Linked DNA regions of Drosophila melanogaster. Changing the gene in region 1 together with any one later gene gives a genetic interaction. Each region holds a gene or a part of one and is shown in the gene's direction. Other genes may lie near its edges.

Region 1 (7,017 bases):
CTCCACAGACACACACATGGGTGTCAGAGTGTTAGCGAGTAACTGAATGTATGTGTGGTACTATCAACGATGCGTTTTTTCGCCGTATATACGGTGAATTCATCGCAGCGAAGTGAAGAGAATGGAATGGAGCGAGTTAAGCGCACTGGAGTCGGAATACAACAACGAAAGGCGAGCGGCACATTAAGATTGGGGTGCATACACACATACACACAAGGTATACCCACACTCACGTGCTGGTGGTGAGTGTGCGTGTGTTTCAATCGGTGTGACAAGGATACAAATGCAGAAGCATAAACAACCCGAAACCAGATCGCCTGGACATTAGTGATGGCAACCACGTGACCCTTAACCAATTAGAGATGGTTCGATACTAAAGTTCGTGACTCGACAAGATTGTTGATCAGTCATTAGTCGGATTAATCCAAGTTCGAATATAATTTGAATTAAATATAGTGCGATTATAGGTTTCCCATTAAAACTCACAATTCGACTTTTAACTGGAAAGACAATAAATCAAGCAGAAGCCTAAGCAGAAGAAAAAGTAAGAGCAAATATGATACCGGTTAGTATTTTTAAAAGCGTGACATTTCAAATCACTGTTCTTAGTTGCGTTCTTTAGTAAATTTTATTTACTGCTAATTTGGTATATCCAACACTATGAGCACTTCCATTCCAAAGCAACTATAATATCAAGGCAGAATTAACCGGAAACCCATTAAGACTACTCGGTTGGCACCCCTGGGTTTCGTATCCAACCGGCTTTTCTAAACATTTCCAGTTTTAGATGGTATTCATTCGATGTAATAATTGTTCACCTGTCGCCAGCCCAATATTTGCATAATCATAACAACAAAGCAGGTGGACAACGCATAATGGAGATGAAGATGCCCAAAACAAAAACCGCAAAGGGTCGAGCGCTAAAAATACCTGCCAACTCTCCCGCACCCACGGGCACATCACACGCACACACACCTGCAAGTGAGTCAGACTCACGGGGGCTTGAGCAGCGGACACATGCGAGAAAATGCCGGACTGTCCCACCAGATGGTAACGATGGGAGTCTTAAACTCGGCGGGAGTTATCCTACAATGCCTAGGCAGAGTCCCAAAATGCAGGTGAAACCATAATCCCTACAATTGGAGAAGCAGTTCCATAGTTCGTCTGCACCAGTCAACCAGCAGATAACTACAAACCAGGTAACTCGCTGGTACGAACAGGCTGATATACTGGTCTATATAAAGCGTTTATGCGCGCTTCATATTCAACAAAGAGCAATATCACTGATTAAAAATTACTATTTCTTTACATATTGGGGATTAAAGAGACATTTTATACAAATAAAAGCACGTCATAAAGCTATCCATATCTTCTTCTTTGCTATCATGACTGAATGAAACTCATGAAGTTAATCAGTTCAGTACTGCGGGGTACGGTAAATACCGCATAAACGCGGCGACGGACAACTACACACGTGTACAGCGCTTACACCTATTTGCTCTCGCCTGTTTTGGGCTTCAGCTTCGTGGCTGACTACGTGTGTGTGTGTGTGGCAGTGTTGTTCTTGCTGTGGCCTTTTTTCTCTCACCCCGATCTCTCTTGGCGGTGCGCCCCGTCTCTCTCCCACTCGCTAAGATATGGCAGAATGTCACGCTGTTCAGATACATTTGTTTCAAGTTGAATTTACAATGTCCCTCACAATAATACCTTTGTACGTAGCTGAAATCAACGATTTATCACTACTTCACTTCATGCTAAATCCTCAAAGCGAATTCGCAGTGGCGGCGAAGTAATCAGCTGTTCGCCGCCCAATGAAAAAACAAAAAAATAAGTAGGAGAAAACGCGCGCGTGCTAGTGTGCGTGCATGTGTGTGTGTGAGCAAGCGCGCCAACTGGGCGATGGGCGTAGATGGCAGAAGGGGGCGGGTCTGGGTGGCTTACTGATATAAGTTGTTATTTCGCGGGGGTCTCTGTCTTTTATTATTACTTTTTGCCAATTTCTAGCACTCTTTTCGGTTCGTCTCGCTGGCCTCCCCCCGCAAAGCGTATCAAACGATGAATACGGTAGGCAAAAGAAACCCGAAAAAGCAAAGATGGCGTTTTACGCTGCCCATGCAACTTTGTAGCGTATCTGTGTGGGTCGCCTTGTGTATGAGGGGGTGTGTGTGTATGATGGACTATAGCGGAGGGAGGGAGTGCACTCACTCCATCGTGAGCAAAACTCCTATTACAGGACACCGCTTCCGCCCACTTACCGTGCTCGTTCCGGAAGAAGAAGTTCACCTCATCGGTCTTCACCGTACCGCCCGTCGAATGCGCCATTTTTCGGCCGCCGGAGATCAAGTGATCTTGTTGTTGTCGCTTACCGCTCACCAGGTGGACCGCCAAAAACAAAAGGAAAGAGCAGTGCTACGTGCCGTTTCGCCGCAACGTGTGTGCTAGGGGGGGGCAAATGGAGCTGGAATGGGCGACGGCGGTGGATAGGCGGACGTACTGCACCCACGGACTGGGGCACGTGTGCAAATCCGGATGCGGACCACGACCACGACGACGACGACTGCAATGGGGAGCGCACTTGTACAAAAAATAAGTGTCGCCCAAGTCAAAATGGCGAGCGCATTTTTCACTTCCAGCGGCAGGGCATTTTTTTTTTCTTTTCTGCTGCTCACACACACTCACAGCGGCGGCCCTTTTTCGGTGGCCTTTTTCGCGGTGTTTCGGCGCACGGATTTTCACGAGATTAGTGGCAAAAGATACGGCGAACTTTTAGCTATCGAACGGCTGGCAGCAGCGCGAATTTCCGCAATTTCTAAGCGCAACAAAATGGTCACAAAATTTCCACCAAGTGGCTGCTTTTCGTTTTCATGTGGGAAAGGCAAAGCAGGCTGTGTGCGGGTGCGAATGAAATGGCAGACAGTGCGCGCCAATTTACGCATCAATTTACGCAGTGTTGTAAGCAGCTGTGTGCGACAGTCGCTATCGCACACTGGTCGCGGATGTAAACAAAGTTGCCACTTTGTCCAGGTGAGCGGTATTTCGCTGGCAGCCCGCCAACGGTCACCCTGAATCGCAGAATATTAAAGTTTTCGAGTTTTATTTTTACCCATTTGGTTGGTGTGGGAAAATGACAATCAACAGGAACGGGTAAATCCAAGCAGCTATCTACACGAGCCCAGCAGCGGAGCGCACACGCACACAATGGTCGATCCGGTGGCGGCGCTGTGCAATTACAATGTGCTGGAGGTAATCTTCTCCTACCTGGAGCTGGACGACCTCAGTCATTGCTCGCAGGTGTGCAAAAGTTGGTACCACTTCCTCAACGACGAGAACAGCGACGTCTGGCGCTGGCACTGCCTGAACAAGCTGCCCAAGGAGTCCCTCAAATCGGACCTGCTGGCCTCCGTCTCCACGTACAAGACGAAGCTGCGGGCCTATTTTCACGCCTGGAGCCCCAACGACTGTTCGAGGAATGTGTACATTAAGCCGAACGGATTCACCCTGCATCGGTAAGGTATTCGGTTTGCTTGAGTCGGCGTTATATGTATGTCCCTCCATTCCCGCAGCAATCCCGTGGCGCAGAGCACAGACGCGGCCCGGGGCAAGATAGGATTCCGCCACGGTCGTCACACCTGGGAGGTGATATGGGAGGGACCGCTGGGCACTGTGGCCGTCATCGGCATATCTACCAAGGAGGCGGCTCTACAGTGTCACGGCTATGTGGCTCTGCTCGGCTCCGACGACCAGAGCTGGGGCTGGAATCTGGTCGAGAACCACCTGCTGCACAACGGCGACATGCAGGGCAGTTACCCGCTGCTGAACAATGCTCCCAAGTACCAAGTGGGCGAGCGGATACGCGTCATTCTCGACTGCGAGGACAACACCTTGTCGTTCGAGAAGAACTACGAGTTCCTCGGTGTGGCCTTCCGGGGTAAGGGGAAATAGTTTGGTGATACCAGCGATACGAACGATTCTATGCACTTTCACCTTGCAGGCCTGCCGGACAAAAAGCTCTATCCCACAGTATCCGCTGTCTACGGCAATACCGAGGTCTCGATGGTCTATCTGGGCACGCCGTTGGACGGATAGCTTTGCAGAGGGCCTACAACTTGGTTAACAACTTCCACGGATCCATTAGGTTATTGTGTACATTTGTATTTATCTCAATTATGATTGCTTCATTCCACCTGAAACTCAGTTCGATAAATTTAGTTAATAGTTTCGTTTTTTTGTACAAAATTATGCATTTTGTTGATTTACGCTAAGCCAAAGTTCATATCCACCTCGGCACTATCTCACATGGCAATTTACCTTAGTTATACGAACCAAATGAATATAATAAGCGATTAAACAATAGTTGAAGCAATTTTTTATACACCAATGATCGCTGATTGTGCAAGTAAAATTACAGACAGAAGAACGAGTCGCGAATACAAATCTTTCAATCCATTTATTGCGTGGTGGCCTCTACTGTTTCCCATCGGTTTTCATCTTGGCCCAGTTGTCTTCATCGAACAGATCATCAAAATCATTGTAGAAGTCAGCGTGGACGTGCTTATCGTTGGAGGGCAGGTGGTCCATCATCATTCCTGTGGCTCCGCCGGACTAAAGGAATACAATATAAATATATACATATGTATATGAGCGTATGGTGGCAGGTTTTTAACATTTATGTAGGATATTGCCATGAGCATTGATGAAAACTCTGGACATGGGAACAATTAATATAATAAATAAAGTCGCCAAAAGATGAAATGAAAGATACATATTCCTGTTTTGCGGGGAAACACTACTTCTAAAGAAGATTGTAGATTTATCTGATTGTTGTTTACTTTTAATTGCAATGTTGGCTACAAGGATAAACAAAGTTTTCGACGACCATATTCTTCGATGGGAAGCTATGTTGAGGACTTACCTCGTCCATTTCCATGTAGCCGGGGCCTTCGGAAAACATTTCGTCGGCAGCCAGAGACGGTTTCATGTTTAAATCCATACTTATTTCTATTTTAGCTTCCAATTATCTTTTTTGTTATTTTTTTTAGCGCAGAAAAATCTTTACTTGCTGAAGGCGTTGCCACTGCAATGACACACAGAAAATAGGTACCCGTCCGGCAACCCTATGAAACAGCTGATTGCCGCTAAGAACTTCAATATAAATATTAACTATTGTAAAAATGGTTCGTGTGGGCCTTCAGATTTCCGCCACGCTGGAGAACGTGGACAAGCTGGAGACGTCTCATCCGGACTACTCCTTCTTCTTGAAGCTGAAGTGCAGCAACTGCGGCGAGCAGTCGGACAAGTGGCACGATATCACGGAATCCGAACGTGTGCAACAGGATTCGCGCAATGCGGCCGGCTTTAACTTCTTCATGAAGTGCAAGATGTGCAGCCGGGAGAACAGCATCGACATCGTCGACAAGTCGAATGGTAGGCTGGCTTTGAGTAACGTATCCCCACCAAACTACTGAGTGCATCCATCCACACAGCTCCCTACACGGCGGACGATTCTGGCGCATTTAAGACCATCGTGGTCTTCGAGTGCCGCGGCGCAGAGCCCGTCGAATTCTCGCCGCGCGTCGGTTGGCGCGTCTCATCCGCTGAAAATGGCCAGCAGTTCGAGGAGGTGGACCTGTCCGAGGACGACTGGGTGGAGTACGACCAGAAGAACAACAACTCTGTGGGCATTTATGAATTCGCCTCGAAGTTCATTAAGCTGAAGAAGTGAATCCTGCTGCACTTTACCTAGGATTTTCTTGATATTAGGCTAACGCCTCAAACTGATAAATGTACACTACACGGCACCCGAAAACAAATATCCTTTAAGCATATAAAGGCATTTCGAATTGTTTTGTTAACTATAAATCACCATTGTCAAGTAATTCTTCCAAAATGCTTTTCTAATTCACCCCTCCTGCTCTTAAACAATACAGAAGTGTTCTAGATATATTTAAAACTTTATTTGTGATCATCATGCGATTCTCTTAGCCGCTCTCCCAAACTCTCTCGATATCGATTTTCATGTGCCGGCTACTTTGAATTGAGATTGAGCACGAAGATATTAGCACTCTCTCAATTGTTTTTGCCTCTCTGTGTGCGTTTGCACTTGATTTCTTAATACAATGCAGTATTTCGCCAGACTGCGAGCGAAACGGACCGGATACGGGAATCCAAAGCGAATTGCCGGACCCGGATATCGTTGCAAAAGGCGCGTAATATTTGGTGAATGGTGACCCTTTGAAACCACCTACGTACACCTGCCAAGTGCTCAGCCAGTGCGTCTCCGGTAATTATTCGGTCTGCCGAGCGAGTGTCGCCAGTCAGAGGCACTAGGTGCATCAATAAAACTCGCAGTGATTAGATAATGTGGGGGGCCAGTCTTATCTGGACATTTGGGCGACGTAGTTCAACAGCCTGCAGAGGTTCCCACCAGTCCAATACAATAATATAACCCAATTCCAGCCCTGACCTTTGCAAAAGTACGTGATTTGGAATACTCATATCAAGCGGTCTACCCCTGGCCACTTCCCACACGGTTCATCCATAATGCATGATTCTAGGCTGGCACGCATCAGTCATGCATCTTCTCCATTTGTCAATTACGGCACTTGGAAGACGTATTCCCATTACAACACTCTACGCTTTCCAAGATGCAGCATTCTATCTCAATTGACACTGATTGGATTGCGTGCATGCATATAAATTCCAGCCACTACTTGGCCACTTTTTACATTGAATAGTGCTTCGTTTAAATTAACAAGATCAAACAGTCAATCCATCGATCATAATGTTTAACTTAACAATTAATATCTTCCGCATGGATTCTATATCTCATATGGGTAAAAGTATAAAGAAAACTGGAAAACATCTTTAAAATTCAGAAAATGTTCTACAGCTTTTAAGATTTTTAAATTAGTTTTTAGCACGATTACTTTAAATATAATTACAAACATTTGTACATGGATTTTTGAATGACACAACCTGTTGACTGTTTTTAAAAGACGTCTCTTAAATTTGTTAAGT
Region 2 (7,643 bases), on another chromosome or scaffold:
AAAACATAAAATCAGATATTGAAACATAGACGTTACAGCAGAAACATAAATAATCTATTTAATACGATATTCAATTTTCCCCAAACAAACTTAACCCAATTAAAGCAAAAAAATGGTATTCTTAGTAGGAAATGGTAAGGACAGCAGTGGCATTGGTTGAATCCATTTGTGTGGCCTGTAATGCTCTAAGAAATCTCTGTAAGACCTCCGAATAGGATTTCTCTGAATTAACCTGTACATAATAATTACAAAATCAAGAGTTCTACAAGAATTCGGAAAGTTAACCCTCCCTATGGTCTCATTTGCAAGCTGGCAAAAGTAAATATAAGCTCCTCCACCAAGAAAGAGTAGTGTGAAAAAGACAATATTTATGAATTGGGATTAACTAGACATGTGAGTTCAATTAGCAGGAAGTTCCCACTCACATAATTGATATTCAGTGCGTTTCTTAAATCGGAATCGTTTAATTTGACTTACTTTCCACAGTATCTATGTTCTGACACAGTTTTTAGATTTAAATTAATGCAAGCTGTTTTCGAAGCGCACTGTCATCAGGGGAATCAGATGCAGTATTAATTATTAAGTCGCCGTGAAGTGCGTTAAACAAAAACATTTCTGTGACAGTTGAATATATTGATATTTTGTATACTCTAAGTTGCTTTAAATAATAGATTTAAAGGAAAATTGTTAGACAGACCTAATGTTGTATACTACAACTATGTGCTACGGATACGATATACGCCCGATTTAATAATCTCAATTTTGTGACTACTATTTATAGATTCGTTTTCGATATGTACTCCGCCATTACTTCTAACAGCGAAGTGCGTATTCGTTGCTTCCCTAATATCTACGGTATACCTAAAGCTCTACTGAACCCGACTCCCGACTTCGAAAAGCCCCTCCTGGTAATATCAACAGCAGTTTTAAAATTAAACCTCAAATTGATTTCACCGCAACTCATTGTCAACCTCATAATACTTTCTGGCATTTTCCATTGCGCATTTTACTGGATTTTGATAACATTTGCTATTCCATAACTGACAATGAATGAAATGGTCTTAATTACAATCATTTGCATTGCATATCTGGAATACAGAGCCTTTTCGATATGGTTTTCCTATCCTATGGTGGCAGTTTCTAAACAATTCGATTCGTACTTAATAATCATTTAGCTTTTCAACAATTAAATCAAAACCAAATGTGCCAAGAAACATTTATTGAACAGCACTCGCTCCGGTATTTTTGACAGCACTGATAAGGCAACTCTAATAAACAGCACGTAGCATTTTCTGTCGTCTAATATAATTACATTTAATTAATGAATTAAGCATTTACAACTTAGTTTATACAAGATGTTAAGTAATAGATATTGCTGAATCCGATAAATGTCGATTAGAGATCTGGCTTCTGTGCAAGATCACATTTGTAAGAATAGCTCCTAGGACATGTATTTAAGTTGGGCAATAAAAAAAACCACAAAACCTTTGTGAAATATTATTTTAATGCTCGCTTGTCTGCGAATGGAAGTAATAAATATTTACATTTTTTATTTCAAGAAACTCAGTTCTTTATTAAATTTCTAGATCAGAACTGCGTACATTGAGGAACATATTTAAAAGGTTTTCCATGATGGCAGCTTTAAAAAGAAAGTGTGTTATAACCAATTGACCATATTGGATTCCTTTTTTAAAAAAGGCAAAGTGAAAAAAATAACTTTCCTAACAAATAGATATTAAACAAAATGATTCATTATTTTGAAGCACAAAAGAAAGAGATATTCCAATCTTCCATTGATACACTATTATTGTTCTCACAACAATACCAACAAGATCCTTATCTCAATGATCCTCAACTACCCTTAACTTAGACTTGTTAAAGGCAATTCTTGTGTTGAGATCATATACCCCCTCCCCCTCGCAAGTGGCACTGATTGACGGGCATGGAACCTGCACCCTGGACATGGAACTGGAACCCTGGGAGATACTGGCCCTCGGTGTCCCTCAAATGCGTGAAACCCTATGACTCATGCGCAATGGACCAAAAGAAAACGCCTGAGCCGCACGCAGGCAGCATAACAATTTATTGGTCAGAACATACAAGAAAAGGTATTTGTTGATAACGTGGAAGGGGGGAGGTGGCTCTAAGAAGGGAAAAGTGGATTGTGTGATTGGTAAGGATACACCGCGACAAAAAGATCTTATATACTTATGGCGTTATGCTGTTATCATGGGTGATAAAGGTAATATTTTTATACATATGTACGTAACATAATAATAAGTTGTTAATTTCGAAATATTTCGTGTATAGAATAATGCTTTTCCAATTCATAGTAGAGACATTTATTATGAATATTATATGCTATGGAAATTCTAAGTATGTAAATATACAATTGATCGCTGAATATATGCTATGGAAATTCTAACTATGTAAATATACAATTGATCGCTGAATTCGCTAAGTATTTTCCACGATGTAGAAAAGCCCCCACCCACTAACATGTTCTCCAAAGAGATCAGTCCTCTGTGGGTATGAGTCATCTTTGTTTATGTAGAAATTATGCTACCTGCTGCACTATGTTATTTTCATTTTCGTGCTCTACCTGTTGTGCGAAAGCGGAGGAGCAGGGGTATGGGATTCGACACAAATCCGGAGACACCGTTTTCACAGCTCTGCTCTTGTATAGCAATTCTTTGATGACGTGCCGAGTTTAACTACATACCCAGCTTATGACGTACAGACTGATAAGCTGATAGGTTGTTTACGCAAGCGAATTGCATTTAAGAACAATTTAAAGTTTAATTTTTATATGTATGTATGTTTGTTTGTGTATAAAGCGAAAAAGTATTAAGATCATACTTTAAGTAACTTAGCTCATGCTTTTATAACATATATTGATAAAACAAAATCAAAATACATACATACATTCTTTTTAAGAGTATCACTAAGTTTTTGACTTTCCTTAAATAGATATACATACATACATATCTAGTTATTTATTTCATTTATTAAGAAGCTGACTTTTAAATAAAATTAATACCCACATTTAGTATAAAAAACTGTCTAATAATAAATTTTTCTACTTTCAGATGTTCTTTCAAAATTTTAGATCAAAGTTTCCAAAAGTTGCTAATAGTATTCTTAAATTTAGTACTTAATATTCGAAAGAGAAAATAAAAATAGAAATGAAAAAGAGTGTGGTAAAAGCGAGGTTTTAGATATTCAACGACACACAAATGTGTACATCTAATTTCATTGATTTGAATTATTTAATTTATTTATTTTTGACTTCATTATCTTTTTAAGCATTATTTTGCTAAAAGCTCAGAAGCAGCTGCCATGAGCGCTTTTAGGCACTGAACACGATCGTGCACGTCGCTGACGAGAGCTTTATTAAACTTTTAAGCCAGATCCAGTTTCATTGGCACTATCAAGTAGAGTGTGGTGAGCAAAAGAAAAACGGGGATAATCGGAGAGGCGACAGCAACAACAACGACCCAGTGCCTTGGCAGTTGATGTCTGTTTGTGGTTGGCCATCCCGCGCAGTCGCGTTCTCCCGCACACTTGCGCAGTGAACACAACCTGCGCTCCAAACTGGTTTTGGTGGAGGAAATCCGCAAGAGAGAGCGCTAGAGAGCGGATTGGAACTCGGTTTCGGCCAAAGCCAAAGCAGAGCCAGCAGCCAGTTTTTGCTTTTTAGTCGATTTGTATCTACCTTTGGTGCGGACGGTTGGTCGGAATAAACGCGTTTCGCAGCGGAACTCCAAGAAGAGCAGAAAACCAGTCTTTAATTGTTCCATTTCAAGCTGAAATCAAATAAAAGTTCTTCGCCAATGGCTGAATAAAGTACGAATCAATGCAATCACTACGATTCGCAGTGGAAAATTGCTGGAAAAGTGAGCAAAGTGTGTGAAAAATGTGCAAATACAAGAATTTTTATATTGATTTTCTTGGCCAAAAGAGCGAACGAGCGAGCAAAAGGCAGCAGCAGAGGAAGAAGAAGAAGCAGCAACAGCACAAAGCTGCGCTGTAAGGCTTCCGTCGTTGGTGCGAGCAAGAGGGGAGGGCCCTACTGGGTGGGTGTGAACGAGACAGCAATAGCGAGAAATGTACTCTGGTGTGTGTGTGGGAACATTTATGTTTGTTGTTTTTGTTATGTTCTAGCTTTGGCCAAGTTAAATTAAAAAAAAAAAGAACAACAAGAAGTGGAGTTGTACACAGGAAAAAATGATATCAAGTGCCTTTTCTTCTAATATATGTTTATCTTTTGAAAAGCAAAAGATATTATTCAAATGAGAAAAAAAATAATCATAAAGTAATATTATTTGGCGAATTATATTTTTTTTTTAACAGAAAAAGATTCTGTACTATATCTCAAAAATAATTGGAAAAGCATCTAACTTACAAAAATGGGATACAATATATAAATACATTTTTTGATATCTACTTTTTTTTTCTGTGTACAAATAAAAAGAATACCTGTATGTGAGCTTGTGTGTGCGCCTATTCTTTTGTGCAATTCGCCTTTTAAAGGCATCATAAAAATAGCTCAGCCTGCAGTTTGAAAGTGAAAGAAAACCACATTTAAGCGGAATGCAAAGTGAATTGGCAGCAAGTGCAATAATCGACCCTTCTTCTTCCCGTGTTTGTGTGTTTAAATAGCTTTTTTTGCGTGGGTGCTATTGCTGTCTCGCTCCCGCTCCTGCTCGCATATCCTTTTGCCCTTTGCCGTTTGACGTCGTTTGCTTCTTATTGATTTTCGTCATTCATTGATAAGAGGTTGCGAACGAATGTGCGCGTGTGTGTGTCTGAAAAGGAAATCCCCAGCCAAAAAATACTAATGTTCGTGGTATCTCCATATAGCAACCGCTTTATTGACCAGAATGTCGTAAGGATCGATCATAGAGCCACCAATACACATACCCAAACCACACCAATCCTGGACAATGCAACCGTTCAGCGACAGTCTGAGCAAAAGTCGCGATGATCTGGTCACCGCCGCCTCCCGGCAACAACAACAGCTACACGGACGGAGGCGACACCACGGCAGCAGCCCCAACTTGTCGCTCGATCAGACCGACAATCTGCGAAGGAGGTGAGCATTATTATTATTAGACATTATGGTCGTGATGGCTAAGACAAAAACCTAAAAGTTTTAGAACGATTTTTGTTTGAGTTGATTATAGAAAAGTTGTTGGACATTTAGAAACTTTATTTAAAGAGTAATCACATAATTGATTAAATCTTAAAAAAAAAACTAAAAAGCAACCTCGAGCATAAAAACCCCAAAAAATAAATACTTTCAGCCATTAAAAACTCGTCGTGTTTAAGTAAAAGAAACAAAATCGGCTTGAAATTTTAATTAATATTTCAAGAATATGCCGCCGAATCGTGCTTAATTAAGCGGGGTAATCGACCTTCACTGTATACAAGTTTTTATGTAATTCGCAAGCAACTGAATACTCGAAAGTATTTAGCAGGTTAAACGATCGTTTAAAAATTTAAAAAGCCACAAAAATCTTGAACTGAGTAACAATAAAAAATTCAACTTTATCCGATAGATACAGGATTCTATTTCCCAAATAGGAGGCGTCAGCTTTATTTTCCTAGTTCCTAGTCTCACTAAGTAAATAGAAATCATTAGAAAGCACGTGCAAACCAAAAAAGCTTGTTGTGAAATAATAAAAAGTTATCACAGTAGATATTAAAAGAGCATAATAATGACAACAAAGAAGACAGACATACAGACATCTACTAAAACACTGCAAAACAACAGTGTTAACAGATAAGCAGATAAAAGGGGTTTCATTATTTAAATAGCGAAATACTAGTATTTAATAATTTTTTGTAATTGTGATTGATTATAATATTACTAAGGAGAGCACTCGATTTTCAGGAGTAGAGATAACAAGCACACGGAAATGTCTTCATAGGCAGTATCCACTGTAAAAAAAATTGGGCGATACAATTTGCAGGGGGGCGCAGCCAAAAACTTCCTATTCGCACACTTACATCCACAGCACGACCACCTGTATCTGTATTTGTGTGGATGTGTGTGAGATTTGATCATGTGTTCCCCACCATGAAAACTGGTTTTAAGTGTGACCAGATGGCAGCCTGGCCTGGGGAGACCTCGAGATGGTTGGCCAGTCGATACAGGCGCTGGGGAATGCGGTCAGTCTGACAACAACAACGCCGGATGATAACAGCAGATGAGAGCGGAGCGGGAGAGAGAGCTCCATCCGAACTGATACTGATAATGTGGAGCTAGACCGTTATGCTCACGCTGCGAGTCGCGATTTAGTTGGCGAAAATCAATCGCTTCTGGTGGTCGCTCTTTGCGCTTGAAATTCGCAAGCCTGCCTTAATTTGCGTCCGTGTGTTTGTGCGACAACAAAAACAAAAGCGAGCTTATCGCCAAATCAGTTTGCAGCCGTTGTCTGTGTGTTGGTGTGACGCAGTTGTGCGAAATACGTGAAATTATTGCATTTTTCCCCCCCAAACCCAACCAATAAGCAACAGTCTTGAAAAACCGCCAACGAAAGTGTTACGCGTCGCGTTCGTCTCTCTTTTCTTGTAATTAATAGCAACAAAAAGCGATACCAACTTACCTTGACGTCACTTTTTTTTATTATTATACATCGGACGACAAAAGGCGATTGTTGTTGTTTTTTCGGTGGCTGCTGGTGCTTGGCACGAACTCACAATCAAAAGTTAGCCAACTTTTGTTGTTGGCCCAGTGCGTAAAAACAAAAAAAAAACAGAACTGCTGGCGAAAAGCGAGCGTAAAATTTTGCATTAATGCAGTCTCGTCGCATGAATGAATGAAATTCTTAGTGCGCGACAACTAATTACGAAAGGGAACCAAAAAAGTGGCAATAACAAATAAACCATGGTCTACATCATACCGTTCTTTAGCCACAATGACCCGCCCGACATGATCATCACCAAAGAAAAAAGGTAAAATACACGCACCCGAAAGTATCTCAAGATGCACTGAGTCACAGAATCTCACAGATTCACCGCTGACCCATGCAGAAATGAATGAAAAGAAATGGGGAGACGCCGCCAAATATCCGCGTTCTATGAACCACACGCCAAAGGTCAAAACGTGCTTGGCCGCATATCGCAACAGAACATTTGGGGACGGAAATTAATGCTTTTTCACAAATTCATAAATAAACGAAAGGTTTTTGACATTTGCACGGCGGGTGCCGCCAGCCGCGTGCGAGCAGGACGGCTGTATTGTCAAAAAAACAGAGAACGGTACACTAATGCGCGTGTGATTTTTTTTCCAATGATCAACAGGTAGGGGTGAATTCACCATGTAATGGAGTAAATCTTCGTACCCGAAAAGCGAAGATAAAAGCTAAGCGGCTATCAAATTATGATTTGTATTATAAGAAACTTTAATAAGCAGGGACAATACCTCCACTTACATATATCCACATTTCACCTGAGAGCCAACCAGAATTATCAGTGTGGGAAAACTTGCTGACTTACTTAGCTACCCTTCGAACAATGCTAATTTAGTGTTAATATGTTGTCTTGGAATAGAAGACAGTAATAAAGAAACTAACAAATACTTGCAAAGGGACTGTTCTTCTTATTTAATCCGTAAAAATCGCATGATAAAAAAAACT

Evidence for each region.
Region 2: of Fsn (region 1) and wnd, changing one suppresses a phenotype caused by changing the other (phenotypic suppression), as found in Drosophila melanogaster (one study listed by BioGRID).

Annotation. Positions count from the first base shown.
Region 1 is NT_033778.4:13,218,351-13,225,367, reverse strand, and holds Fsn (F-box synaptic protein), read left to right. Parts: upstream 1-2,908; 5' UTR 2,909-3,024; intron 3,025-3,029; exon of another isoform or gene 3,030-3,138; 5' UTR 3,139-3,198; coding exon 3,199-3,506; intron 3,507-3,563; coding exon 3,564-3,928; intron 3,929-3,991; coding exon 3,992-4,086; 3' UTR 4,087-4,429; downstream 4,430-7,017. Other genes in the region: DP transcription factor, read right to left, coding at 2,256-2,322; CG17059 (uncharacterized protein), read right to left, coding at 4,465-4,602, 4,913-4,990; CG4646 (uncharacterized protein), read left to right, coding at 5,172-5,424, 5,484-5,722. UniProt on the Drosophila melanogaster protein: Required in the presynaptic motoneuron to down-regulate the levels of wnd and restrain synaptic terminal growth at the neuromuscular junction (NMJ). Negatively regulates the localization of vas to the posterior pole of the oocyte.
Region 2 is NT_037436.4:19,631,684-19,639,326, reverse strand, and holds the start of wnd (wallenda), read left to right. Parts: upstream 1-3,543; 5' UTR 3,544-3,896; exon of another isoform or gene 3,897-3,905; intron 3,906-4,863; 5' UTR 4,864-4,946; coding exon 4,947-5,095; intron 5,096-6,230; exon of another isoform or gene 6,231-6,892; coding exon of another isoform or gene 6,893-6,960; intron 6,961-7,643.